Linked DNA regions of Mus musculus: all the other regions are reported to be linked to region 4. Evidence: microRNA targets listed by miRTarBase, many of them from high-throughput screens and not tested one by one. Region 4 holds a microRNA gene; each other region holds the end of a gene's coding sequence.
Evidence for each region. The annotated mature microRNA mmu-miR-1199-5p reads UCUGAGUCCCGGUCGCGCGG and lies in region 4 at 1,439-1,458, shown strand. An mRNA with a match to its seed (bases 2 to 7 or 8) in the 3' UTR can be bound and repressed. Matches are read on the target gene's strand: a 7mer-m8 pairs with bases 2 to 8, a 7mer-A1 pairs with bases 2 to 7 and ends in A, and an 8mer does both.

Region 1 (4,064 bases), not on the chromosome of region 4:
CTTGTAGATTTTAAGGTCAGAAGATAATTCTGTGACTATTTTAAACATTCACATGAGACCAACATTTCTCAGAAACCTAAGAGTTAAATAATCACAGTGAGGTGATTTGGTATGTTCCGTGCTGGGATATCTGAAGAAAATTCTAACTTACTTTTTTTGCCCATAAGTAAAATGACTTTAATCATGCCAAGTATCTCAATGCCTGAAATATATAAGTCACATATATTTTTCTGATGTTCTGATTAAATTTTAAAGAGGATGAATGTTGAACTAGTTCAGACCTTGGGTCTTGGTTTCAGCTACCCATGAAAGTTAAGAATATTTAAAAATCGTAATAAATTTTAATTACTCATATTTACACATCTGACGGTAGTGAAACCTAAGAGTCAGCAAAACCTAATATGTTTACAAAGCAAGACACAGGTTGGTGCTGCCAGCCCAGCTGGCTCTTGAGTGCCCTGGGAGATAACCCTGGGCACGCCTGGGAGGATGATCCTGACAGGCTAATTGAAGAGGGATGTCTGTGTTAGCAATGTGCAGGGCCACTCCCTAGGCAGGGGCTCTGGGCCGCGTTAGATGGAGAAAACCTGCCGAGCAGTACCATTGGCTGCTTGCTGTTCCCGGCTGCAGATTTATGAGACCAGCTGTCTGGACCGCCCGCTCTGGGATCCTCAGCTGCAGCCAGAGGAAGCACTCCCCTTTAGGTCCCGTTTGTCAGGGTATTTCATCACAGGACCTGGAGAAGAAACTGAGACAGGCCAGGAAAACCACTTCTGCTAAGAGCTTACTGCAAAGAACTCGTGTTACATACAAAGAAACATTTATTTAGACAAATGAACAGGGTGTGAAGGTAGGTCACACAAAAGCAGGGAAACTTTAGCAACAATGTATAAAATCCCAAACAATGGTGGTACTATATGTTACAGCCCAGGGGATCACAAGCTCTTATTGCTTCCCCTAAAATAACCACATTACAAGAATGTGTCCTAGAAAAAAAAAAAGGCTGCTTATGTGTGTAGCCCCGGGAAAGTAGTTTAAATGAACTGAGTACAGAGATATAACAGATATATTCGTGAAGACTAAATGTGCCCAGATAAAATCGTCTCAAGAATCAGTAAGAGCAGAGGAGCCTGAATTATGTAAATAAAGAGGAAAATGCAATATAAAAATAAAATCCAAAATGAGTGCATTAAGATGGTGAACATTATGGGCATTTTTAAAACCTGCATAATTTCTCCAGCATTTCCAAACAAAAGGAAAAGACTGACTGCCATTTCTTGAACTTGCTTGCTTTTTCATAAATTTTACTCTTCACTATGAGAAGAGTATAGATTGACCCATGGCTGCAGCCGCATATGTAGCAGAGGACAGCCTTGTAGGGCATCAATGGGAGGAGAGGCCCTTGGTCCTGTGAAGGCTCGATGCCCCAGAATGCCAGGGCAGGGATATGGGAGTGGGTGGGTGGGTGGGGGAACACCCTCATAGAAGCAGGGGGAGGGATGGTGGGATTGGGGGTTTCTGGAGGGGAAACCGGGGAAGGGGATAACATTTGAAATGTAAATAAATAAAATATCCAGTAAAAGAAAAAAGAAAAAAGAAACCTCTAGGCTGTATGGTCTATTCAGGCTTGAGCTGTTCATGATGAAGACATACCATGTACAGCCTAGTCCGTTCTAACGGGCAGCAGGATCTAACATCACCTTTGGTTACACGAATTACAGGACATTAGATAGGAATATATAAAAATATAAACATACAGGGTCCCACTCCGAAGTCCTGTGTAGTCCTGGCTGACCTGGAACTCACAGAACTCCACATGGCCACGCCTCCTGAGTGCTGGGATTAAAGCTTCACCGTGACATCAGGCTCAAAGCTGTGTAACTTCCAATTCATCAATTTACCATAATACAACACTTGTATTTTTCAGTCTCATACTAAGAATTCGTTTTTAAATTTAAAAACATTTCATTCTTTTGGTTTTTTATGTGTGGGGGATGGGCACGGTGTACGCGCACTGCAGAGTGTTTGTGGACAACTTGCTGGGGTAGAGGTTCTCACAAAGGTTGCCCAGGGGTCAAAGCTCAAGTCATTGGTCCTGGTGTCACCAGCTGAGCCAGGTTACCTGCCCTGAGTTAACATTAACGTTTTTATTAAAACACGTTGCCAGTCTGCTGAGAATGCCCTGTTGAAGCACCCAACTGTTTATATTAGGTTTGCATTACATTAACCACAATAAAACCGTCAGTCTGCTTATTTAAAATATTTTAGAGGCAACAACCTCTAAGAGGAAAGGTATGAAAAATATAAAAACTTGTACTTTACGGAATGTTTAATAAATCTTCTTTTTGAAAATATACGTTAGTAAATGAGGGAAGCCTTGACTATTGCCACAGCTGTACAATACCTTTCCACATTCCTGCAGGAGTCAGTGGCCTATGCCTCTAACCTCTACACTTGGGAGGTAGATACAGGAGGAGTCTTGGCTACATAATGAGTGGGGCCATCCTGCGTTAAATCTCGATATCTTAAAGTAATTATTTTATGTATGTGTGTGGAGGCATGGGTGTTCGTTCACAGGGGCCCACAGGCCACAAGTGGGTGCTGGGTCCCTTGGAGCTGAAGTAGCGAGAGCCGCCTGCTGTGGGTGGGTGCAGAATCTACACTCCGTGCCTGCTGGACAGGCAGTGTGTCTTCGCCTCTCCAGTGTCCTCAGTTTCCTTGTCTTCAAGAACTCAAAACACACAATAAAAGAATAGATATTACTATAACAAAACAATGAAGCACTCATAAAATCTGCTGTTTGAAAATGTGATCATATTCTTCATAACTACAGAAACCATGTCACTGGACCAGGGTTCCGCAGTCACAGAGAGGCGCTAACGAACAGGCAGGAGAGCATTTTAATTCAAGATACATTCTTTAGTTTATATTCTAGAAAATCACATTTTTGGTACTTTGATACCATGTGGTTGACCACAGAAATAGCTGCCACAGTCCACGGCTACAGGAGCTGAGCTCTGCTGAATACAGGATCTGAAATGAATCACGTCTCACGCTATTTACATTCTGTCAGTGGCCAAAGCAGGAGTTTGTGCATTTACAGATATGTATTAGGACAACGTATTGATTCCCGGGATTTAAGAAACACAGTCACAGCTGAGTACAGCCCACCAGCACCTTCCAGCAGCCATAGGCTCTGCAAACACACAGGACAGCTCGACACTGAACACTTCAAATGTATTCAGAGAATTTCAAAACAACGAACGCCCCCTCCCCGAGTCTAAGCAAAGCAAGTTTGACACTTCTGTGAGACCAGTGGAACCTGCAGCTCAGACTTCAGGATTCTGTCATTAGAATATTGTTTAACTTTTTCATAGGAAAAAGACTAAGGGAAGATCAAATTCAGAAAACTTATTTATCTGAATCCAATCAGATCCATCATTCAGAGACATTAAGACATCTTGCAAAGAACTCAAGAGGTGTATGGGCATTCCTGGTCGGGACAGACACCAACCAGGAAATGATCCTCCCAGGCCGGCCTCACAGTGTCTTAACTGCGTCATCTTCTCTCTTTGTGTCCCTGAGAGTTATATATCCACAGCTTATAACCTGGTCACTGGAGTTGTCAGATTTTAGTTTTTTAAATGTCAGCTCCTCCGGCAGAAGAGACGTGCAGCGCTCGAGGGACTGTTCGATGTCATCGATGGTCCACCTGTCTTCGGGGAGGGCGTGCTGTGCAAGTGTGAAGGGCCCCTGTTTGGTGCGGGTCAGCTCCAGCACGCTGGCACAGGAAGAGAGCTCTACGGTACCCAAAAGGAAAAACGCAAGATGAGCCGCGTGGCGTTCACAATCCACAGTCTTCCAGTCAACAGAACTTCTGACCTCCCAGGGTGCCAGCCCAGCACCAGAGCCCAGAGCCTGAGGTAAGTCACTGCTTCAGCAGGAAAGATGATTTAGGGATGTAAATTTATACCTGTTTTCCTTTCTTGGCATTTGAAGCAAGCCCGGGACATAAATATTCCCACTACCTTGCAAATAGGATAATGTGACCTGTCCACTCATGT
Region 2 (4,064 bases), not on the chromosome of region 4:
GGCTTCGTATTAGTTCTAAATGTATGTATATGCATGTGAGTGCTGAGCCTACAGAGGTGACTGTGAGCAGCCTCGTTTGGATGCTGGGAACCGAACTTGGGTCTCCTGCAAAAGCAAGCAGTAAGACCTCTTTAAGCTCTGAGCCACCTTTCAGGCCCCAATATATGTATTTTTCAAGACGTGTAGCCCATGCTGGCTACCCTCCGGCCTCACCCTACAGAGCCCCTGAACTGACAGGTGTGCATCCATCCCTCTCTGATCTGCCTTGTCTGCCCCCAGACGCGGGAGGAGTGGCAGTACGTGTTCCTCATAGCCTCCCTGGTGCACTACGGCGGTGTCATCTTCTATGGGGTCTTTGCTTCGGGAGAGAAGCAGCCGTGGGCAGAGCCGGAGGAGATGAGCGAGGAGAAGTGTGGCTTTGTTGGCCACGACCAGCTGGCTGGCAGTGACGAAAGTGAAATGGAGGACGAGGCTGAGCCCCCAGGGGCGCCCCCCGCGCCGCCTCCGTCCTACGGGGCCACACACAGCACAGTGCAGCCTCCGAGGCCCCCGCCCCCTGTCCGGGACTACTGACCACGGGCCTCCCACTGTGGGGCAGTTTCCAGGACTTCCACTCCATACACCTCTAGCCTGAGCGGCAGTGTCGAGGAACCCCACTCCTCCCCTGCCTCAGGCTTAAGATGCAAGTCCTCCCTTGTTCCCAGTGCTGTCCGACCAGCCCTCTTTCCCTCTCAACTGCCTCCTGCGGGGGGTGAAGCTGCACACTAGCAGTTTCAAGGATACCCAGACTCCCCTGAAAGTCGTTCTCCGCTTGTTTCTGCCTGTGTGGGCTCAAATCTCCCCTTTGAGGGCTTTATTTGGAGGGACAGTTCAACCTCTTCCTCTCTTGTGGTTTTGAGGTTTCACCCCTTCCCCCAAGACCCCAGGGATTCTCAGGCTACCCCGAGATTATTCAGGTGGTCCCCTACTCAGAAGACTTCATGGTCGTCCTCTATTAGTTTCAAGGCTCGCCTAACCAATTCTACATTTTTCCAAGCTGGTTTAACCTAACCACCAATGCCGCCGTTCCCAGGACTGATTCTCACCAGCGTTTCTGAGGGAAAATGGCGGTTTCAAGTCCCCCCACCCCCCTTTTCTTCCCTCGTCCCCTCACCAGCACACTTTGCCGGGCCTTGACCTTAGCTTAGTACAATCATTGTCCAGGGAAATGGCCAAAATGGCTCTGCTCACCCCGTGCTCTTTTTCTGACTCAGTTTTCAGGTCTCAGTAGTGGCTGCCCAAAGCTATTAATTCAGCGGCTCGAGGCCACCTCTTCCTCCCCGTGGTGGTTTCAGGATCCCCCTCGCCCCCCCCCCCCCAAATCCTTGCACTTTATTCTCCTGGGTGGTTCCAGGCCGCCCTCGGTTTCTCAGTGGCCATTTGTTGTGTGTCCCTCAGGGGCTAAATGATTCCAAATCTGGGGTGCTTCCCCTCATAGACACCCCTCTCTCAACGTAGAAATCTGGGTGGGGGTGAGGTGTGTGAGAGAAGTTACAGAATCCCAGGAAAGGGAGCGGGGCTGGGAGGAGAGGGTTGTTCCTGGGGCAGGGTCGTGTCTTGGTGTCTGTCTCTGTGACGTAAATCCTGCCCTGCCCCACCCCACTCCCAATAAACGCTCTGGTGTACGGATCAGGTGGTCGCGTGGTGTGGGCCCGGTGTGCAGACCCCGGTCTCTTCCTGCTGCCCTACGCTCGACCCCCCAGTTCCCCCTGACTCAGTCGGACCCCAGCCCTCCGCCGCCGCCCGGTCTGCACCTCAGTTTCTCTGCTCCCCGCTGCTCTGGGCTGCGCCTCCCCTCTGCCCCTTCGCCCCGCCGCGCACTGAGGCACAGATTCCAATGGTGGGCGAGGTGGTTTATTGGGAAGTTCTGCCTGGCTCTGGGGTCCCTCTAAGGCATTGAAGCTGGGCCGGGTCTGCGGCGCGGTCCTCAGAAGAAGTTGGGGGACAGTGCGGCGGGCGACAGGGCTTCCAGGCGCTGCGGCCCGCGAGGCGGAGGGGGCAGCTTGGGCGGCAGCGGGGGCGTGGAAGGTGGAGGCTGCGTGGCGATGTGGGAGGGCACCCACGCATCGGGGGCGTAGAAGTAGAGATCCAGCGGGTCCTTCGGGGCATCGAGGTGCAAGACTGCAAGGACGAGGGACTCGTCAGGTGGCTGGCCATGGGAGGGCTTGCAATGTCCGTGCGTGCAGGCGCATGGGGGGGGGGAGGTGGTGGTGGTGGTGGTGGGCGAGCCTCGATGGGGTGTGTGGTACACAATTAGGCGGGGCTTAACTGAGCAGAGAGGGTGTGTGGGTATGGGGGGAATTTAGGCTCAGAGAGGGAGTGTAGTTAGTGTGTGTGTGTGTGTGTGTGTGTGTGTGTGTGTGTGTGTGTGTCTTGGGAATCTGAGCTTTGAGATCCCATCTCAGAGGAGGAGGAAGTGGGAGGAGGAAGAGGAATAATTTCAGATGTAACGGGCTGGGACCAGACCATGGTGGGGTCAGCCTTATACTTACCTTGGACAGGGGTGTGTGTTCTTTAGAAGGGTGTTCTAAGTCCCCTGTAAGGCCTGGATAAGGTCTTTCTCGGGCGAGCAAGCACTCACCTGGTTCATCTCCGCTGTCCCGGAGCCGGTGGTGGGCAAAGGACCTGTGTCTGGAGGCTCGGCGGTAGAGGCACCACAGCAGCAGGAAGATGCCAATCAGCAGCCCTGTCCCCGCGAAGAACAGGCACAGAGCCCCACCGACGGAGCCTCGTGGGCGGCTGACCAGAGTCACCCCTGAGGAACGACACAGCCATCTAACCTGAGCTGAGGACTTTCCTCCCTCAAACACGGGGGTCCAGACCCAGCCCTCATCCCTCAGACCCAGGAGTCCCAGCCTCACTCCCTCACACCAGGGATCCAAACCCAGCCCTTCTCTGTCAGACCCAACTCTCCTCCCTTAGTTCCAGACTCCCCCATTTCATACCCAGGGATTCAGATCTACCCCTCCTCCCTCAGCCCTAGGGCTCCAGTCTCAGCCCTCAGGCCCCTCACCCGTCTCCTTCACTCGCTCCACCACGATGATAGTGTTGACTGTGTCTCCTCGGCTGTGTCTCTGAGGGGCAGGTGCTACCTGATTGGGGTGCTCCAGAGGAGCGGGGGGCCCTGCAATCCTTGCTGAGGGAAGAGGGATATCTGGCCCTTTAGGGTCTGAGTTCTGGGGTACGTGCAGCTCTTTGGTCCCTGGGGAATCTGAGGTGGACAGGCCAGGGGTGGCAACTCGGGTGACTGCAGGGGCTTCTGGGCTGGGACTCAAGCCTGGCTCACTGGGAGTGGTGGCTTCCTCCCTGAAGGTTGTTGGCTGGGTGGGAAGACTAGAGCTGGGTTCCAAGTCAGAGGTCCTAGCCGTTTCTGTTACATTTTGGCTGGGGGATGTGGGGAATTGGGTTTGGGGGACAACAGTGGGATTAGAGTTGTGAGTGGTGAGAAAGACTGACTGTGGACTTTCTGTAGGGTCAGGGTGGGTGGTTGGTTCCAGTGCAGAATTTAGGTGTCTCGTGGCACTGGGGTCGTAGGTCTCTAGGGATTTGGAGCTGAGGAATTGGGTGGGTCTGGGACTTGGTATCTTAGACTCTTCACCAGGTGAGAGTTTGGGGGTATCTCTTTTGGAGATTTCAGGGGATTCATGGTGTAGAGTTGGTGTGGGGTCAGTGTATACAGACTCAGGAGACTCTGGGGGTGAGGTGTTGGAGGGGTTAGGTTTTGGGGTTTCTGGAGAGTCAGACGGGGAAATTCCAGTTGGGTCAGGTTTGGGGGTCTCAGAAGGTTTACCAAGTGTTGCTCTGGAGGGACTCATTTGTGAAGTACCCTGAGATTCTGCTACTGATGTGAGCTGGTCAGGTATGGGAGTCTCTAGAGAAAGAAAGGGGCTGGGGCTAGGGGTCTCCCTTAAGATTTTTGTGGAGATGTGAGGGGAAGCTGAGGGTGGTGTCTCGGAGTGCTCAGGAGGATGGCTTGCAGAGGATCCTGGGGTAGGTTGATCTCTAGTAAGATTTTCTAGAGTACC
Region 3 (4,059 bases), not on the chromosome of region 4:
CTCCTCCAGGCCCAGCATCTCCAGCAACGAGGAGAATGAGTCTGCTCAGAGCACCGCCAGCACGGTGCAGTACTCCACTGTGGTGCACAGCGGCTACAGGCACCAGGTCCCGTCCGTGCAAGTGTTCTCAAGGTCCGAGTCCACCCAGCCCCTGCTAGACTCGGAGGAGCGGCCAGAAGACCTGCAGCTGGTGGATAGTGTAGACGGTGGGGATGAGATCTTGCCCAGGCAACCGTATTTCAAGCAGAACTGCAGTCAGCCTGAAGCCTGTCCAGAGATTTCACATTTTGAAAGGTCAAACCAGGTTTTGTCCGGCAATGAGGAGGATTTTGTCAGACTGAAGCAGCAGCAGGTTTCAGATCACATTTCTCAGCCCTATGGATCCGAGCAACGGAGGCTGTTTCAGGAAGGCTCTACAGCGGATGCTCTTGGCACGGGGGCTGATGGACAGATGGAGAGATTTGAATCTGTTGGAATGGAGACCACAATTGATGAAGAAATTCCCAAAAGTTACTTGCCACAGACTGTAAGACAAGGTGGCTACATGCCGCAGTGAAGGACTGGCTCCTGAACTTCAGCAGGAACTGCAAAATAAAGCTAAAGACGAGTGGCTTCAGATGAGAAACAGTCCTCACTCCCTGAAGATAGGCATTGCCTCTAAGGACAAAGTCACACCTGGGCCGTCTCCATTCCAGAGTAGCTGGAATTCTCCTTCAAGCACTACATGAACTGACTTTATCCTCTATAGCTGGAGGACTCTGTGCTCTTTCAGAATGTTTGCACTGCCGAAAACAAAGTGTGTCTGAGTTTATAAAGCTGTTGGTTTGCTACATAGAAAACGGGGGATTTAAATGAGCCACAATGTCATGGCATCGTTCAGCTGGGCTGGTTTTGATGAGACTGACCATCCAGATGCCAGCGAGAAGGCCAGCAGCATCATTTAAAAGTGCCCTGTGGCACAGTGTCCAGATTATGTCATCTAGAAGACGAAAGAATGGAGGGGTGGCTCGTTTCTGGGTCTGTCAGAGAAGCATGGCCTGCTCCTTGCTGTTGGTATCGATGCCGGTTACTACTGAGGAAGAGGATAAACTTTAAAGAGAAGCAACATAGAAGCACCCGCTTTCTTATAGTCACCTACAGCCTCCCAAGAAACTGCTTATTATTGAAAATGTCTTTCCGAGTCAATTTCATCCACCCTATAGTGGACCAGGCTGGCCTCAAACTCAGAGATCTGTCTGCCTCTGCCTCTGCCTCTGCCTCCAGAGTACCGGGATGAAAGGCAGTGCACCACCACTGCTCCACTTACGAAGATTGCTGTTTTTAAAGACTTAAGTTGTTGACATTTTTCTGAACACACATAACCACACCAGGGACAGATGATTCTAGAGACTGGTTGAGGAAGCACTTTATCCAGAATGTCTTCAACTTTAAATTACTTTAATTGACTCCACCTTGTTTTGATTTTCAAGAATAGCAGGGTGTTTGTTGAAGGGTGGCATTTCCCAGAGCCTCATGCAGTCCCAGAACACACATCCCAACCATGTCAGCGACCACCACAATGACAGAAGTCCTCCTACAGAGCTGAGGAAGCTGGAAGGGTCCTGCTAGTTTGCAGGGTGGGCTTTGAACCCACAGCCCTGTGCATGCTAGACATTCACTCTACCGCTGAGCTGCTCCTCCGCCCGGCTCATTATGTCATCTAGGCTCTCGTGATCCTCCTGGCCCAGCTTCCTGACTGTCTGGGACTGTGGATGTGTGCTGTCACACACCCAACCAGGTCTTTTTAATATCTGCCATTTATGAGGTAGAGTTTTTACACGACTTAGGACTATCTTAAACCTATTCCTTCTAGTTGCTTTATTAAGGAATAGCCTAGGCATCCAGTGTTTAGCACTAAAGCCATTAATGTATTTGTGCCTAACTTCCCAGTGTGACATGGAGGTGGGGGCTAAAGGTAGACACTGGGCAGACAGGAATTGGCTGAGCGCCGTTAGAGGCTGATCACTAAGTGTGCTCACAGGAAAAGGGTTGAAGTTTCAGAGCATGGGCACCCAGATCATTTATAGCGGTTACCACACAGTGCCTAGGAGGAGTTGATATGCACTTAGTTGGATGCAGTTTCACCTTTTACTCTCAGAAGGTTGTTTATATTCTACTTGCTGATGTGTTATCATTTATATTTTTATACTGGGTAGTCCTTTTCTGTGTTCTTTCACATGTATAATCCTCGTGAGACTGTACATGCTTTGCTCTGGTATATTCAGTTGCCTCCTTGGCAAAACCAGCCTGGAATTGCCAAAATGCCGGAAGTGAAGGGAGATGGTGAAAGTCGGGCACAGGAAGGCCAGGTCAGGGGCAGAGAGACCAGAATTCACACTACAAGGCTGGCACCATTGCCATTCAAGTTGGACGTCAAAGCCTGATCCCAGTTAGGACTGAGTTTTCTATGTATATATCTGCCAGGAAGTTAACACTTGCTGAATTTCTCATCTTCTCACAGTAAGCAGTCTAGTTATGGGACTCTATCCATGTTCAGCTGTGACTTCCCTCATATCAGACAGTGGTGCTGTGAACGTTGCAGTGTGAAGTCTGTACTGGCTAGGGATGGTAGCCCAGCGTGAGTTCAGGCATGAACATAGAGGCCACTGAAGGAAGAGCCTCCTGGAAGCAAGTTGGCACGTTAAATCCCAGACAGAAAGTGTCCCAGGGAGCCAGGGCCTCCGCCAGCAGGGAGGGGGTGTGCTCACTGCAGGAACGTTCATTTAGAAGATGTACCATGGAGCACCTCCCTTTGCTCTAAGAGAAAACCCATCTTAAAGTTCATCTTGAATACAGACTTCGCTCGAGCATGTTTTAGAATAATCTGGATGCTGTACCTTGTACCTTAGGTAGCAGAGAAAGTAATCTGGCGTCTTTCTGTAAAACCGTCTAATAAAGCTAGTTCTGCCCGTGGGCTCGTATTCTTTCGTGTGTAAAAATGTAGTGTAAGGCGCACCAGAGAGCAGCCTGGCTTGTGGCCAGGGCTAGTCCACTGCTTCCCATGCAGTTGCCTCTCGAGGACTCAAAGAAAAAGGAAGGTTTAATGCTGAGTCGCCGTTACAAAACCTAGCGTTCCCATCTTTTCCTCACTCAAACATAAAATCTCAGTCCTTTGAAAAGCATGAGTCACTACTCGGGGGCACAGAGAAGCAGAAGTAGGAAAAGTGCAGCCCCTGCCCCCCTCGTTCTCCCGCCTTCAGATCATTCCATCTCTGCACAGTTCTGCTGTGGTCATCAGCTCGGCCAGGATGGACGGTTTCGGGGGGGTTTTGTTTGTTTGTTTTTGCTTGTTTGGGTTTGTTTTGTTTTGTTTTTCTGTTTGTGGTATTTTGGTTTTTTAAGACAGGATTTTTCCGTGTTGCCTTGGCTGTCCTGGATCCGCCTGCCTGCTGTGCCACCACTGTCTGGTGAGACTGTAGTTCTTATTGTGAACTTAAAGGGTTAAAGAGGTAGAAGGATTTACTGGACTGTAGTTTTTGATTTTTTTTTTCCTCAACCCTAATTGTAATAATGGTTCTTAAATGCTTTAGCCTCCCTTGTAGCCCACCACCCACCAGAGGTAGTGGAAAAGAAAGGATGTGGGGGAAGTGGACCTGTTTAAAAAATGGTTCTTTGGAGCAACTCCTGTGTGCACTGTCAGAAAATCAGCTGTTCAGTTGACAGGTCAGCAGTGGCAGCTCCATCCACTCGCAAACATGTCAAGGCTACACCAGCAGTCCAGGTCGGTAGTAGTGTCAGGATAGCAGCAGCAGTGGCATAACTAGCAGGAATGGCCAGGCCTCGGCCTCAGCACAAGTCAAGCAGGAAGAACTCGAAGTTCTCAGCTGTGCCTCTCAGTGAAACGAAGATATGTAAGGCCATCACCATCCGTTGAGTCCTGTATATACTCCCTCCAAATATCAAGTGTCCTCGGGCCTGGGCTCACCTCGGGTCTTGTGTGTGAGTCTGTATCAGCTGACATCACTCTGCCAATCAGCCCGCGTCTGCGGAAGCTGCAAGCCACCAGAACCACATCAGAAG
Region 4 (4,064 bases):
TGGTTAGCCCTCACTCTGGGTCATCGACCCTGTCCCGAAACACAGATCGGGCACCAGACAAAGGTCGCTACTGCCTCCCGCTAACCCGGTGGCTCCTCTGCCCCATCTTGGGCCTCCTGGGCAAACTGGTCCAAGCTGACCGCCTTCCAGCCACAATTGCTCGGCTGAGGCCCGGAAGTCCTGTAATGTCTGTGCCCTCAAACACCGCTCATTCTAGCTGGACACTTGGCTGCCAATGCCTTGCGGGCTTTTCTGGAAGGTGGGGGTGGGGAATCTGCCCCAGGGTTTTGAGTGGCGGCAGCGCCGCTGCAAACCAGACAGAGCTGAGCAGCCCCGGGTAGCAGCAGCACCCAGTGCGGCGGCCCCGGGCGACCCTCGGGCTGGACTCGAGCTGTGTTGCCTCAGCGATCAGTGTGCAGAGAAGGCCCGGAGATCACGGGATAGGGGGCGGGGGGAAGGAGAGTGGTGTCGCTGGCCGCAGGCTGGCACTTGCTGACCTAGACTAGTGAGGTCAGCGAAAGACGACCGGGGAAACACTCTGTAAGGAGGCCGTGGTTCAGCGATCAGCGCGGCGCTCCGCTAGAGGTCAGGTCTCCGGAAAGTGATGAAAAAAAAAAAAAAAAAAAAAAAAGACCCCAGAATGCCAGCGTGGTACCAGAGGGAAAGGGCGACACATACCCCCTGGGTAGTGAGTTCAGGGAAGCCCTTTCCGAAGAAGCCACCCCTTCAGTCAACCCGTGTGTTCAGGTGGCGGGAATCCGGAGAGCAGTGGAGGCGCCCTGGCCCATAGGGCGGGTCCAGGGCCACTCGAATCCAGCTGGCAGGTGACGGGGGCGGTGCCCAGTCCTGCCCCCAGGGGATGTTCCTGGAGGCCAGAGGCGGGTCAAAGAAGAGTGCTGGCGACGCCTATGAACCTCGGGCGGCGGCTGTAACTACAGGTACTGCACAGGGCACCGTGTCCTACCTATTTGGGCATCTCAATTCGGCTCTGAGAACTAAAATTTTCAAAGGGCGCCTAACTCCAAACATCCATGTCCTCGGGTGTCCGAGAGTGGAGTCCTGGGGTCGCCTGAAGGCTACGTGTTCCGGGAGCCGCAGAGCCAGGGCACCGAGGGCTGCTGGGGGAGGCAGTGAGGTCCTGGAAACCTCTGGAGAGGAGCACTTGCAGACTCTGGAGCCAGAGAGCCAGGTCCCGCAGGTGCCAGTTGAGCACCGGACCGAGCGCCCGGGCGGTCCACAGCTGGGCCGCCTGGCACTAGTATAACGGAGGTACTGGGGCAGTTGTGCCCCTGTCTCGGCTCAGAGGCCTCCAGGTGTGTTTTCTACCGAAGCCCGCGGCATCCAAACCGGCGCCGGCGGAATTGCAGATGGAGACGCCCATCCAGCGCGAAATCCGCCGCAGCTGCGAGCGGGAGGAAAGCCTGCGCCGGAGCCGGGGTCTGAGTCCCGGTCGCGCGGGCGAGGAACTCATTGAGTTGCGCGTGCGGCCGGTGCTCAGTCGGCCCGGCTCCGGTACTCCGCTGCCGCGCGCCCTGGAGCGCGCTCGGGCGGGCGCGAAGATGCAACGGGACATCGAACGCGAGGCTCACAGGCAGGCGGCGCTGGCGAGCCCCGCGGTTCCGGAGCCTAGCGCCCGGCGGCGGCCGCAGCCGCTGGACGAACTCAAGCGCTTCTTTGAGGCTGCGGCGGAGGACGGCGCTGGCTTGCAGAGGCAGCCAGAGACCGGAGGCCGGCTGCACCCCGCCGTTCAGGACGGCTGTCCGGTACTGGGGCAGTTGCCACCGCTCGTTGCCCCGTCACTGCTGGAGCAGGAGGTGCGACGAGTGCGCGAGCGCGAGCGGGAGCTGCAGTTGCAGCGGCGCAGCATCTACGGCGACGCCGAGGTCCAGGAGCCAGCGCCGAGCCTCACCCGTAAGCGGTCCCCCTGGGCCCTAGAGCTCCAGCTGTCTCCACCTCCAGTGATCATTCATCTGTAGGCTTGCAGACCCTTAACTATTCTCCTGGGGGTTCACCTTCTTTTCTTCACTCCCACTCCTGGAGTGAGGATCCCCACATCCATCAGACCTTGGAACCTTGACTTCTGGCGTTCTCGGGTCCTCTGTAGTACTCGGGTGCCTCTCTACATTGAGTTTGCCTCATTCCTGTTCCTGGGTCCTCAGAACTGGGTGGAGGCCTTCATGGGGAAGAGGGGTGCACACCTGTATGTATATAAGGGGTGCGGCCATCCTCCAGCTGGCAAGAGGAGGGGCAGTCGCGGCTGAGTGTTCCTTCCCCCACAGCGAGCAGGGGAGATGGAAAATTGTCGGTGATCTGGCCTCCGCGGAGACGGGCCTCTGAGAAGGTGGGAGACTCCCTTTCCGATGCTTGTCGGTCTCCCAGCCCTCCCTGCAGCACCTGGGCACTGGGGTGGAGGGAGAAGGTGCCTCTTGGTCCCCTGGAGCGCCACTCTAACCCAAACTCAAAAGTCCTAGACGCGATCCAGAGAGTGAAGAGGAGGTGGAGGCCTAGAGGCCAAACTTCTCCCTGAGGGTGTTCTTTCTCTTCCCCTTTTCCTTCTAGGAGCGCAGACCCTGAGGTCTATGAAGGTTGGGACCTGCGGACAGAAGTAACATACCCTTTGGAGAACCAGGGTAGGGTTACTCTCCAGATCAGCAGAAGGCCTAGAGAGGGAAGGGCTAGCTTTCTTTAATGGCAACTTGAAATCCAGCCCATCTTTGATACTGACTATGGAATTAACCACCTTTCTCCATAAAATTCTCTAGTCTTCCTTGGAAACCCTGCAAAACCTATGAGTGAAACATAAAATAAACTCCTCCTCCCTTTACCTGGGCTTCAGTGCAAGCTATTTTCTACTGGGTCCTCCTTAGTCTGGGTGGGCGGAGGCTGGCAGGTGAAGAACGTTTGGAAAAGCCACCCAAGGATCCCGCCGGAATGTTGGAATTCAAAACGCGCTCTGGTCTCCTTGTTCTGGACTGACTGCGGACCCGGGCTTGGAGGCCAGGGCCCTACTGCCCCCTGGTGGTGAGAACGCAAAATGTTGCTCACCGGCCCACAGACTCCACTCTGGTATCCAGATGTCAGTTTTTATAGGCACCAAAACCATTCTGTGTTCAGGGAGCTGCTAGACCGAGGTGCTATGAAGTTGTATTTCCTGCTCTAGGGATATAAACAATAGTGTAAACATACTAGGGGTGGCTGGAGGGATGGTTTAGGGTAAGGAGTGCTTGCTATTCTTGCAAATGACCCGAGTTCAGTTCCGGGCATCTACATGGGAGGCTCACAACTGCTTATGTCCAGGAGAGCCATTGTCCACTTCTCTCCTCCAGGAAAATCTCAACATACATGGCACCCATTCGCACAAAATGCACACATATTCACATAAATTGAAATAAGGATAATTTTAAAAAAAGAAATACCAATGGTGGTGTTGAAGGATCAAGGACCTGGCAAGTGTTCTGGTGACCATCTTTGCTTGTTTCTTTTAAAACCGTGGCTTAAAAAAAAAAAAAAAAAGATAGAAAAAAGGCCGGGCGTGGTGGCGCACGCCTTTAATCCCAGCACTCGGGAGGCAGAGGCAGGTGGATTTCTGAGTTCGAGGCCAGCCTGGTCTACAAAGTGAGTTCCAGAACAGCCAGGGCTATAAAGAGAAACCCTGTCTCGAAAAACCAAAAAAAAAAAAAAAAAAAGATAAAACCGTGGCTTCGTATATCCCATATTGGCCTGAAATTCCCTTTGTGGTCGAGGGTGACCTAGAAAGTTTTAAAAGATTTATTTTTTGTATTCATGCTGTATGTATAAGTGTTTTGTTGGCTTGTATGTGTGTGTGTGCCTGTGTGTATGTGTGTGTGCCTGTGTGTATATGTGTGTGCCTATGTGTATGTGTGGGCCTGCAGAGGTGAGAAGAGAGTCAGATCCCTTGGAACTAGAGTTCCATGTGAGTGCTGAGAACTGAACCATGATCCTCCTAAAGTACTCTTAGCTGCCAAGCAACCTCTCTTTATTTTTAATTATAGGTGTGTGTTTGTTGGGGTATGTACATGAGAGTGCAGATATACAGATGCCCT
Region 5 (4,064 bases), not on the chromosome of region 4:
TTTACACAGGGGCTAAATGAAAGTTTAACATCTAGACATGAATGCAAAAACTATTAAAGGCTTAGAAAAACAGAAATAAATCTTCATGGCTTTGGACGGGCCACAGTTTGTTGACCGTAACATAAAAACCACAAGCAACTCAATAACTGATGATAGACATGACTGGAATTAAAAATGTGCCCTTCAATGTAAAATTTCACAGAATGAGAGAAAAATACAGGTCATTGTTATTTTATAAAGGACTATATGTAGAATATATAAGAAACTCAGATTTTGATATGAACCTAATATAAAAGTCAACAGATAGGAATAGATATTTCTTCAAAGACATATTAAAGACCAGTAAATATATGAAAGCTATTCCCCATCTTTAACCATAAGGAAAATACAACTCAAAATCAGAATGAAATGATACCTCTTACTCCTGGGATGGCAATACTTTAGAAGTCAGTTGAGAGGGGGGAAAAGGAGAAGGAAGAGGAGGAGGAGGAGGAGGAGGAGGAGGAGGAGGAGGAGGAGGAGGAGGAGGAGGAGGAGGAGGAGGAGGAGGAGGAGGAGGAGGAGGAGGAGGAGGAGGAGGAGGAGGAGGGGGGGAGGAGGGGGGGGAGGAGAAAGAGGAGGAGGAGGAGCAGGAGGAGGACGAGGAGGAGGAGCAGGAGGAGGAGGAGGAGGGGGAGCAGGAGGAGGACGAGGAGGAGGAGCAGGAGCAGGAGGAGGACGAGGAGGAGGAGCAGGAGCAGGAGGAGGACGAGGAGGAGGAGGAGGAGGAAGAGGAGGAGGAGGAGGAGGAGGACTGGAGAGACAGGGCAGAGTAAGATCCTTTGCTGCACAAGCCAGATGAGGTGAGGTCCAATACCCAGAGCCCGTGTAAAAAGCCAGATATAGTCGTGCACACCGGAAACCCCAGTGTGAGGAGACAGAACAGGAGGCTCACTGGGGATTGCTGCTGGAGACTGCTGGCCATCAGCCTAGTTCTGGGTCACTAACACACCCTGACTCAGGACTGAAGCCGAGGGACAGAGCCGAACACTCAACATGCTCCTTCATGCTCAAACAGAGGCATGCACCCCCACAACACACACATACAGGTACACATAGACCATACACATACATCATATTCATACACAGACACTACTATATACATGTGCATACACACATAGACACATACTATACACATACTCCAGATAAACACAGACATACATATATACCACATGCAGACACCATATTCACACAGATACCACACACATGCACACACATATACCAGGTACACACACATGTACATATATACCATACACATGCAGTGTATTCACACATAGACAACATACACATATGCACATGCACACACATAAACATTTACGACATGAAGACATCAGACACGTACAAATTCTCATGTACATGTATGCCATATACATATATCATATTCACAGATACCATATATACATGTACGCACACACATATGTATAAATATACCATACGCACACACCATATTCACACACACACACCATTTGGAGAAACACGAATTCTCCTAACTACCAGTGAGAATGCAAAATGCTAACGGCTTAAGAGTCTAAGGCAGACTTACTCCATGGCCCCAGCAGATCCACTGGCATAACCCCAAGAAATGAAAATATACATCTACCCACAAAAAATGTTTGCTGGAGAGATCAGAGCAGTATTCATTACAACGGGCAGAGGAGAAACTGCCCTGATGTCAATCCACTAATGGAGGGATAAACTCTACATTCAATATATCCATGCAAAGGAGTCTTATTTAGCAATGAGTGAGCTGAGCTACCAATATATTACTGATAAAATGTGGGTGAAATCTTAATAATATGGTTATGGAAAGAAGTCCGAAAGGACCTCATTCTGTATGGCTTCGCTTAGAGGGGCTGTGCACTACAGGCGAGTCTACAGAGACAAACCCATTAGCTGGAGTGGATGAGTATGCCTGATGGGGTGCAGGCTTGGGTTCACAAAAATGCCCTAATGTTGACTGCGATGACCGCTTCACAATTCATTGACTATACTAAAAGCTACCGAATTGTGCTCTTTAAGTGCGTAAACTGTATAGAATTCTATCTCAACACTATTAATGTCAAGCCAATGAGTACTTTTTATTTTACCATCGGTCTTAATTCCTCGTGTTATTATAAAAGAAAACCACAGACTGGGCGATGAAGTAAAAGAATAGTGGATTTATTTCTCACAAAGGTCTATCTCAGAAATGCTGCAGATCAGTCCCAGGGCACCCGAAATAACAAAAGCATTACCATCAGCTGCATCACATGACTGGTCTTGTTTGTTTACTTCCTGGTACATATAAAAGTTATGTTTAGGATCAGGAATAAAATTAAGCAGTAAAGTGCTTTCTTAGAAGGAATGAGACCTTGGCTTCAGTTCCAGCACCAAAAGAAGGGAGAAAGATGGAAAAACTCTCTCTACCACTCTGCCATGCCAGGCAGTGGTGGCGCACGCCTTTAATCCCAGCACTCGGGAGGCAGAGGCAGGCGGATTTCTGAGTTTGAGGCCAGCCTGGTCTACAAAGTGAGTTCCAGGTCAGCCCCAGGGCTGTACAGAGAAACCCTGTCTCGAAACCACCCCCCACCCCCACCCCCCCAAAAAAAAACTCACACAGGTTTGGGAAGACACGATCAAGCCACAGTACCACTAGGTAATAAATATTTAAAAACCAATATGCTTTAAGAGAAAGTCTTCCCTACAATGGGATATATGCTAAACTTACTCCCAACTCAGAAAGGCATATCCAAGCCCCACGTACGCAGAGCCCCAGGCACAGGAATGGAGTGATGGCCACAGCATCACAGCAAGGATGTCGCCACAAACAGCATCCTTGAATGTGTTACAATCAACAGGTACAATCAGTCCACCTTTGCTGGTTCAGTGTGCTGGCAAAGGAGATCCGCAATGATCACATGGCATTATCACAAAACATCCAGCAGCCCCTAAAACGGGAGTGTTTTAAGCATACAGCACCTTTTCCCCTAACTGTGTCCCCTGTCAACTGTTCTCACGAGGACAGAGGCTGAAATCATCATGGTTTTCTTGGATTGGGTGATTTTAGAATACCTCCTTTTGAAACTTAGATTTAAAAATAATATAAAAATTTTATTTTGGGTCATGTGCCCAAAATTACAAATGCCCAAAACCATAATGCTGTCTTCTCAGAGTTTGAAGTTTGAAACTTTGAAGCTAAAATGTTCATCTTGTCTTGGGAGGAAAAAAATAATAATTTCTTGATTAATATGAAGTAAACTTTTTTTTTTCTGCTTTGAGGTTTTCAGTGGTGGTGGTGGTGGTGGTGGTATGGGCTGAGCAGGGTCTTACGATGTTGCCCAGGCTGGCCATGAACGCAGATCCTCACATTTCCATCTCCTGATTGCTGGGATCGTTGGCGTCGTCCGCCACACCTGCCGTACCTGTGTCTTGATTGTCGGTGGGTTTAAAAAGCTGTCTGGGAGTGAGAGTATTCAACCTCATATTCTGAAACACAGAGGACACCTGTGGAGATGGCGCTTCAACCTGTTTGAAAATAAAAATGAAGTTACTTTTACAAAAACATCCCCGATCAACCACTCACATGCGCGTGCGTTCCCCATGACCGAGCCTGAGGAAGAAATGATGCGCTCCTCAACAATCCTGTCTGCTCTCTGGAGGATTATGTCTGCCTCTGCCTACTGTGGCATCCCCTGGACCTAGCTAAGGGCCTGACATGGAGAAGTCACTGTGCGTTGCCTAAATACAACCCTCTAAAAGTAGCAATCGGGCTTACTAGATAATTGGGAGCAAGACACAGAATTCAAGGAAGGCTCGCTGTGCAAGCACTAAGAATTTCAAGATGGATGCAAGTCGCTAAGCACAGAGCCAGGCATGAGGTATGGCAGCGCCAGGACCATACTCTTCATGCCTCTGGTGACACCTGAGCAGCAGACACTGGGCCAGTACGATCCTCAGTTGTCACAGGAAAAAAGATAGGAAACACCATACATCTTCCACAGGGTTCTCTATCAGTGCATTTTAGAATCAGACTTTGGTTAAAGCAA
Region 6 (4,064 bases), not on the chromosome of region 4:
AGATTGTAAGCCACCATGTGGTTGCTGGAATTTGAACTCAGGACCTCTGGAAAAGCAGTCAGTGATTTTAACCGCTGAGCCATCTCACTAGCCCTAGGTGGCAATTTCTAATAAGTCTCTTGAACCTTCAATGGATGTGCTATAGTGGTCTTTCACATTTCCTGTCCTTCCTAACCATCAAAGACCCCAGGAGTCTCCAATCCAGAGCAGTACCATTATCAACCCTTCACATGTCAGGGATACCCCTGTCCCTCCAGGACACGGTGACACAGATCTGTAATCTTAGCACTTGGAAGGATGGGGCAGAAGTATGGTTGGTTTGAGAGAGAATGAGGGAAGAGGAGGGAGGTACTTTGCTGTGAAGCCATCTGAAGTCGAGCTGTGATGAGTTAGGTACCATCTCTTAAGTCACCAGTCAGGCTAGCTCAGTCCCCAGCTACAAGGCCCTGGCAACAGTCACATCTACCAGCCTTTGTTGTCCTCCAAGCCCCATGCTTCTGGTCTGTAAACTTGGTGGTGGTGACCATGTGGCCACCCCTCACCTCCCCTTTCTCTGTCCCAGTCCAAAGAATCATCTTCTGTACTGAGCTGCGACATCTCCAGGAATAATAAGTACATCGTGACAGGCTCAGGGGACAAGAAGGCCACTGTGTATGAGGTGGTGTACTGAGCCATCTGCTGCCTTTTCAGGTCACCTGCCCTGGATGGCTGGCCACTCGGGACACGGGCCCCTCTGCTCATACCTGGCTTGCTCCCTCCTGGCTGGGTGGGGCTGGGGCACTGGGGAAATATAACACATTTATCAACTTGCTTTCTTTCTGTGTGTGTGTGAAGCGTACAGGTGAGGGACCCGACTGGGTATCAGCCTTCATTTCTCTTTGCCCCAATTTTCAGAGTGTGGATCTCACTAATGAGCCTCACAGACAGGTCAACATGCCCCAGGAATCCTCCTGTCTCTACCTACAGAGCTGGATCAGGGATTTACACTCACTCCTTATCCTGCCTGGTGTGGGCTTTACCAACTGAACCATCTTCCTGGCTCTCTTTAAAACAAAAACTGGGTGGGGCTAGTTTCTTAGTGTAGCACTGGCTGTCCTGAAACTATGTAAACCAGGCTGGTCTGGAACTCAGAAATCCGCCTGCCTCTGTCTCCTGAGTGCTGGGATTAAAGGCAAACACTCAGAAGTTGGAGGGCTCAGAGCTACAAAGTTCTTCCAAAACCTGGGTAAAGGACAAATCTCTGCCATTTCAATTGTTTTATTACACGCAACTCGGGATCTGCACACCCCATGGAAGCCTCTAGAAGCACTGCAGACCCATCACACCCATTGCCATCCACCACTGTGCAGTTAGGGGAGGGGAGTTGAAGTTGTCAGTACTTGATGTGGTACACCGAGGCACAGTCCCTGGATCCTGTGATGATGAGCCTGCCGTTCTCAGTCATGTCGAAGCATCTGACAGGGCCAACCTCGGGGACCTGAGACAGCAGCTGAGTGAGCTCAGTTCCTCTCCACCCAGAGCTTCAGAAATGACCCCTGTGGGGATGATGCTGAGGGTCCCGCTGACAGAGCCCCCAGTGCCCCCTGCACATAAGTACCTGGAACAGTTTTGCTCCGGTGGGCATGCTGTGGACCGTGATGAAGTTGCCCATACCGACGCTCGCCCACCACTTGCCTAGGAGGAGGGGAAGGAAGACAGGGAGGTTACAGCAGACCCCACCCATTCACTAACATCCAGCAGCACCCAGGAGGCTGAGGCAGGAGGACTGAGAGAGTTTGAGATGAGAATGAGTCTAGGCTACATGAGACCTTGCCTCAAAGAACAAGGCAGAACAGCAAAAAGTTTTACTGTTTTGTCTTTTGTTATGTTTTGCCGTCTGAAGCCTTTTATAGCTCAGGATAGCCTTAAGCTCCCCAAGTAGCCAGAGATGACTCTGAACTCCTGATTATGATTATGTTAATAAAAGATGTTGGAGTGTGGACAATACCCAAGCCCTGACTGGGCACTGAGTAAATAGCAGGGTCCTCTGAGAGGCCAGTGGCCACAGTGTGCACCCATCCTCAGTGGACTGGTTTCCCAGACAGGGTTTCTTTGTGGAGTCCTGGCTGTCCTGGAACTCTGTACACCAGGGCTGGTCCTGAACTCAGATCCACCTGCCTCTGCCTCCCCAGTGCTGGAATTAAAGGCGTGTGCCACCATGCCCAGGCTCAGTGGACTCCTTACCATTTGGGGAGAACTTGAGGCCTAAGATGGTGTTGTCCTTGGTGTCCACAGTGAGCACCTGGTCCCTCTTCCTGCTGTTGAACAGGCAGTGCTGGCCATTGGCCAGGCCCAGCAGCAGCCAGTCTTCGGTCGGACTGTGAGCCAGGCTCATGATCTGGGTGAGCCAGGCAGAGGTAGCAATCAGACCCCTGCTGGGCGGCCAGGCTGCAAGGTCCCCGCCCGAACGCCCGCCCACCCAATGACTCACTGACTGGCTGTGGCCCGACTGTGTCTCCACACCTTCCTTCTGTGAGGTGTATGAACTTCACAGGGTTAACTATGGCAGTGACAAGTCTGTCTCCCTGGTTGGTTTTATTGGGACATGGTCTTGCTCCATAGCCTAGGCTGTAGTGACTTGCCACATAGCCCAGGCTGGCCTTGAACTCCAGCATAAAATATTTGCAACGATAGTCTTTGAGACCGGCTTTTATGTAGCCCAGGCTATCCTTCAGGTTCCTGTGTAGCTGATGACCACCTTAAACTTCTGACCCTCCTTCCCCCAGCTCCCTAGTGCTGAGTGACAGGAAAACATTCTACCCCCTAGATCCAGCTCCTTCTCCACTATGTAGCCCAAGATGGACTCACTTTTTCATCCTCTTGCCTCAGCTTGAGTACTGGGACGACAGCCTTCTCCACCATTGTCCAGTATGACAAAAGGTATTTTAAAGACCCCTGTGACTTCTCAAAAATTCCTTGAGCTGACCTGGGCTGTTCCCTCTCCTGACACTGAGTGCACCTTGTCATTGTACCCAAAGGCCCACGCCTGTGCAGCCACCCTTCCTGTGCACCTGGGACTGGAACAGATGCTCCAGTGACACCTTGGCCATCCGCAGGTCCCAGCATCGCAGGCAGGCGTCCAGACCCCCTGTCCAGATGTTGTCATCTTTGACCACAAGGTTCCTGGCCGAATTGGTAGGGCCTTTGAGGTTCCTGGCCAGAAAGCAAAGGGGTAAGCCTAGGCTCGACAGTCCCTAAGATTCCCTCAAAGCCGTGGGACTAACCCAACCTGAGGTACTCTTAACACCTTTGGCAAGAAGGCAACAGTGACATCATCCTAGTCCCTGCCTCTAAAAGGTAATGTTCCAATACCTATAAATCCAGTACTGAGGAAGTTGAGGCAGGAGGATTGCCATGAGTTCCAGGCCAGGCTAGGGTACATAGAGACCCTGCCTCAACAATGAGGGTGATGGAGAAGACCCAAAGCTGGCTGTGGTGACTCACAATTGTCATCCCAGCTACTCGGGATTAAGAGAGGATGATTGCGAGTTAGAGCCATCCTAGGCTTCAGAGCAAGTTCAGCATCATCCCTGAAAACGTCACCTGATCCGACCTTAAGATAAAATCTGAGCAGGGCTTGGCAGCACAAGCCTGTCATCCCAGCACTCTGGAGGCAGAGGCAGGTGGATCACTGAGTTCCAAGGCTAGCCTGGTCTACAGAGTGAGACCCTATGCCAGATAAAATGAATAAAAGTAAAAGTGTTGACCAGATGGCTCCCAGGTCACTCAGTGGGTAGAGGAGAGCCGAGTTCCAAGAACCCACTTAGTGGAAGAACAGGCTCCTGCAGGTTGTCCTGAGCCTCTGTTCTCCCTTGTCCTACAAGAATTACAATGAGCTGGGCAGTGGTGGCACACGCCTTTAATCCCAGCACTTGGGAGGCAGAGGCAGGTGGATCCAGGCCAGCCTGGTCTACAGAGTGAGTTTCAGGACAGCCAGGGCTGCACAGAGAGAAACCCTGTCTCGAAAAACAAAACAAAACAAAGCCCACGAAAAACAAGATTTACGAATAAGCCAGGCACACACA
Region 7 (4,060 bases), not on the chromosome of region 4:
GCCTCCAGGCTTTACGGCCGCCCACGGCGCGGCGCGGCCTCCGCCGTAAAGCGGCCGCTGCGGAGGCGTGGCCGGAGCCTGCTGCAGGGGCGGGGACAGTTGCTCTACGGTCCGCTAGAGGGCGGGAACGCCCCCAAACACCGTGGCTTAGCAAAGAGCCACAACGGGAGGCACAAAGCCAGAGGGTAGCCAAATAATGCAGTCCTGCAAGTTCACTGGGGCCCGCGTCAGGGCCCTTGCCTCGGATCACCTACCTGTTGAGCAGAGGTTGCTCTGGTGCAAGGCTTGTATGCAGCACTTGCCCTGGCACCGTTTTGTGACAGCACTTGAGAGCACCACCCGTATAGCACGGGGTTTCAGGAGTAGGGTGGCACAGCACACCATTCAGTCCCTTGATAGGGAAAAAGGTGCTTCAGGCCAGCCATCCAGAAGAGCCTTTGCTCCACTCATGAACGCGGCAGGATGTGATTCTACAGCAGAGGATGCTGAAAACCCTAATGAGCTGGGTCTAAGGGAAACCACATTTTCTTCAATGACAGCTCTTCTTGGGGCTCCCTGAGGGAGCAGGCGGAGAATCCTACCCTGGAATGAGGCTCCAAGTACAAGATGAAATACTACTCTTCCAGAGCACTCATCAGAAACTAGACACCACTGCCTATGCTTCTGAAGTGGCAGCTACTCGGAGGGCTGAAGGCAGGAATACTTGAGTTCGGAGCCAGCGCAGGCAACCTTGACTCTTAAAAGAACGTTCATCTGAAAATTACAGCGGACAAATCTACAAAGGTGTGTGGGGTCACAACCAGGCACAAAACGTCCTGTGAACTTAGAGAGCATAGTGTAACCCTAGTGTAGATGTCAGAACAACATCCTGGGGCTGGAGAGACGGCTCAGCCGTAAGAGCACACGCTGTACTTGCAGAAGACCCAAGTTTGATTCCCAGCATCCACATAGGGAAGCTCACAACCCCCAACAGCTCCAGGGGCTCCTACATCTTTTACTAAGGTATTTATGTGTACAAAAGCATACGATTAAATAAATAAAAGCTGTGTGGTGGTATACACCTTTAATCCCAGCACTCAGGAGGCAGAGGCAGGTGGATCTGAGTTCAAGGCCAGGCTGGTCTACAAAGCTAGTTCTACAACAGCAACGCTTATGAAAACAAAACAAAACAAAAAACAAAAAGCTCTGTCTGGAACTGGACACCCCCCAGCCCCAAATATTTATTTCTTAGGCTTTATAGTTGTAGCCTGTCTGTGCTTCCAGAGTACTGGGAATAAAGGCACAGACCACTATGCCCAGCTGTAAATTAAGTGAAAACAAAAAAACAAAAACCAACTTTAACCCAAGGGTGAAGCCTGGACCTATTTTATCATTTCTGAGTGGTCTCTGAAACAGATCTGAGCCCAAGCCCCAGGCTGCTCTGAAGACACCTTGAGTGGAAACAAGTGGGAGATGAATTCTTTGCAGCATCGGAGTCACCTCCAGGGTTGGAAGCATCGTCAGTTTATCTTCTGCACACCAGGTTCTAACACTCAGGACTGTCCTTACAAGGCAACACATCCATGCCACACCGGTGGACTGTGGTTCTGGGCACAGGAACAATGCACTGGGAGCAGGACAATCGCTTCAGGTGCTTTTATTAGGTTCCACTGCAGGGCTGGGGTCAGAAAAATACTCATCCACACCCAGCCAGTGCATACCTGTGAGCCCAAGCAGAGCAGAAGCGGGAGCACCCATGCCCCAGGAGCAGGCTGATCAGAGCAAGGCCAGGGCTAGACCCATCTCTGAGCCTGAAGAGGACCATGGCAGCCACTGGGTTCACTTGGGTGGGTGTGCTCACAAGCACCTCTTTTTGGGCTGTAGTGCCTGATGACAGTAGGGATTAGAGGTGGGACCAGGGCCACCTCCATGTAGAAGGAGGTAGCTGAGCTGCCCGGGTCTGAACCTTCTGTAGGGCTCACCCCAAGGTGGTAGCTTTAGCTTGACTCTCTTTGGACAATAAAATAAAGTGCATTACTGAACAAAGAGTAACTCAAAACCATAAGCAGAGAAACCACAAAAATTTCTTTAGCTATAAGTCAGAGAAAACAAGAATTATGTGGATGCCAGAACATGAGAACGTAATTAACTTTGTAGACAAAGATGAATGGGGGACAAGCAGTGGCAAACAGGTCTCCAGCGTCTGTGCTGCCCAGCACCTGCCCAGCATGTAATGGTGCTAGTGTGATTGGCATCAGAAACATAGCTAAGTCACAGACAGAAATGCCAGACTCAGGGACCAGAAAAAACAAAAAACAAAAAACCGAAAGGTGAAGCCCTAGCCAGAGACACTACCAGCCCTCAGCACTCTCTCTCTCTCTCTCTACTGCTGGCAGGTAGCTGGAGAGATCACTTGCCTTGCTCTCTACCACTGCTAACCCCTCAGGATGACCCTGTCAATACCAAACCAAGCCCAATGGCTCCACAGTCCCAGGGCTTTAGCTTCAGATCTCATGCCAGGTGAGACCCAACGGTGCTGGCCAGCCCTGCCACACGATAGATAACCTAGCAATAAGTGTTCTGTCCACAGGGCCAGAGATGCAGAAGGGAACATTGGTGCATTCTACTAAGGTGACAAACATGGCTCCCAGCAGTCCACAGCTGGCATGGACTTTCCCAGGGTGAAGGACAGCTGACTCAGCTCTCATTAAGGCAACGAGGCATCACGACATCCATCTCTTACCTGGGTAAGGGCTGTCACAACACAGCCACATAGGACCCTTAGGGACTGTTTCTATTTGCCTCACAGTGGTCAAATGGGCACCTTTTCTAGGCTTTCTCAACTGCCACACACTGTGCAAGAAGACCACAGTGTGGGGACTCGCTGGGTAAAGGTACAGTGCTAGGAGAGGGGACCAGAACTCCAGGGCTGTCCAGACTTGAAGGGGCTGACTGCCAGGCAAGAGCCACCACTGCTCTGATGAACCACCCATGCTACCAACTGCCACTGTCTGCAGCGTGGCAGGAAAGTCTCAGGCACTGAGGTTTGCTTCTGAGGAGAAATGATGGTGGCCTCCTGCCCAATAAACCACCCAAGAGGGGCTGCACTGAAGGAGGAAGGAGCAGAGGTAAATCTCTCACTCCCATCTGTGCAGTTTTATCTTTAAAAAACAATAAATAAAAGTTTCCTGGGTGGGAATTATTGATAACTGCTGATTTCAGGCAAGTAAAGGTCAGGGACCTACTATACTGCATGTCAGACAAAGGCTGCCACACCCTAGCCACACATGCTCCCAAAGGAGGGACACAGCCCCACAGCAAGGGAACAGAGACAGCCAGGAACATTCATCCGAACACTGGGGGAGAAGGTGGGAAGGCAGAAAACAAAGATCATAGAGGAAGGAGAGATAGCTGGGTGACAGCAGCACCCTCTCTGTACACCCCAATTTCAGGTGATTGGCTGGACGTGTTCAGTCCCTCCAACACGTGAGGCGTGTGGGGAGCTCTTGGGCAGGTCTGCTCTGCCTTCCCAGGTGGGAGGCTCTGTTCAACCCCAGCACAGCAGCCGAGGTTCTTTCTCTTCAAGATCTGCACGGAGACGCTTCAGGGTATCTGGAATACCAGGGCAGCTGGCCCCACTGTTTCAGGGCTGTGGGCTTCAGGCCTTATAGGGAACATGTGGCGCTCCAGACTTCAGAGGGCTGGGCTGGCCCAGTCCCATGCAGCAGAGGCCCAGAGCCCTAGGTCCGGGGGAGGCTGCACATCTCGCAGTGGCCTGTGCCAGGTTGGTTCATGAAGGTGCAGTGCTGACAGGCCCACATGGCAGAGGTAGCAGCGCGTGCAGAGCCCCCGACTGCACCAAACTCGTGGAGGCCTGGGAGCTGCACACCAACGGTGCCTGTAGGGTAAAGTGAGAACACGTCATGCCTGCACAGAAAAAGACATCTCCTTAGAGCCAGATGGCAGGGCAGGGTGGCTCAAAGCCCCTACTGCGTAAGCCCAAACTGTCAGCACATCAAGTGTTCTGGCTCCAGTCAGCAAACACCTTCCTACTTGCACTTGAAGTCTGCTCCCTGTTGCT

Region 1: the mRNA of Trub1 is a reported target of mmu-miR-1199-5p. The part of its 3' UTR that is shown has no 7-base or 8-base seed match.
Region 2: miRTarBase lists Slc17a7 as a target of mmu-miR-1199-5p. Seed matches in the 3' UTR shown: 7mer-A1 at 967-973 and 7mer-m8 at 1,247-1,253.
Region 3: miRTarBase lists Il6st as a target of mmu-miR-1199-5p. Seed matches in the 3' UTR shown: 7mer-A1 at 1,222-1,228.
Region 5: miRTarBase lists Helb as a target of mmu-miR-1199-5p. Seed matches in the 3' UTR shown: 7mer-A1 at 2,518-2,524.
Region 6: the mRNA of Tle2 is a reported target of mmu-miR-1199-5p. Seed matches in the 3' UTR shown: 7mer-A1 at 1,126-1,132.
Region 7: miRTarBase lists Nploc4 as a target of mmu-miR-1199-5p. Seed matches in the 3' UTR shown: 7mer-A1 at 1,375-1,381 and 7mer-A1 at 1,099-1,105.

What each region holds. Positions count from the first base shown.
Region 1 is chr19:57,487,745-57,491,808 of GRCm38, reverse strand. Trub1 (TruB pseudouridine (psi) synthase family member 1) reads right to left here. Exons shown (of 8, transcript NM_028115.3): 8 at 804-3,800. The coding sequence ends at 3,541. Among named protein-coding and RNA genes, the nearest start is that of 6720468P15Rik, 19 kb to the left of the region's middle.
Region 2 is chr7:45,174,472-45,178,535 of GRCm38, forward strand. Slc17a7 (solute carrier family 17 (sodium-dependent inorganic phosphate cotransporter), member 7) reads left to right here. Exons shown (of 12, transcript NM_182993.2): 12 at 280-1,668. The coding sequence ends at 573. It overlaps Gfy (golgi-associated olfactory signaling regulator), which reads right to left. Exons shown (of 5, transcript NM_001195255.1): 3 at 3,053-4,064; 4 at 2,621-2,794; 5 at 1,878-2,160. The coding sequence ends at 1,967. Among named protein-coding and RNA genes, the nearest start is that of Gfy, 3.1 kb to the right of the region's middle.
Region 3 is chr13:112,503,890-112,507,948 of GRCm38, forward strand. Il6st (interleukin 6 signal transducer) reads left to right here. Exons shown (of 17, transcript NM_010560.3): 17 at 1-2,971. The coding sequence ends at 556. Among named protein-coding and RNA genes, the nearest start is that of Il6st, 42 kb to the left of the region's middle.
Region 4 is chr8:84,008,988-84,013,051 of GRCm38, reverse strand. It overlaps Mir1199 (microRNA 1199), which reads left to right and starts at 1,419; the gene lies at 1,419-1,537. It overlaps Misp3 (MISP family member 3), which reads left to right and starts at 1,332. Exons shown (of 3, transcript NM_001291292.1): 1 at 1,332-1,911; 2 at 2,280-2,341; 3 at 2,560-2,824. The coding sequence starts at 1,368. The coding sequence ends at 2,574.
Region 5 is chr10:120,081,431-120,085,494 of GRCm38, forward strand. It overlaps Helb (helicase (DNA) B), which reads right to left. Exons shown (of 13, transcript NM_080446.2): 13 at 2,178-3,543. The coding sequence ends at 3,382. It also overlaps a transcript of Grip1 not described here. Among named protein-coding and RNA genes, the nearest start is that of Helb, 30 kb to the right of the region's middle.
Region 6 is chr10:81,589,663-81,593,726 of GRCm38, forward strand. Tle2 (transducin-like enhancer of split 2) reads left to right here. Exons shown (of 21, transcript NM_019725.2): 20 at 563-690; 21 at 895-1,183. The coding sequence ends at 670. Tle6 (transducin-like enhancer of split 6) reads right to left here. Exons shown (of 14, transcript NM_053254.2): 11 at 3,051-3,192; 12 at 2,224-2,377; 13 at 1,598-1,674; 14 at 1,243-1,477. The coding sequence ends at 1,373. Among named protein-coding and RNA genes, the nearest start is that of Gm32024, 2.9 kb to the right of the region's middle.
Region 7 is chr11:120,378,750-120,382,809 of GRCm38, forward strand. It overlaps Nploc4 (NPL4 homolog, ubiquitin recognition factor), which reads right to left. Exons shown (of 17, transcript NM_001195023.1): 17 at 1,049-3,877. The coding sequence ends at 3,720. Among named protein-coding and RNA genes, the nearest start is that of Faap100, 2.0 kb to the left of the region's middle.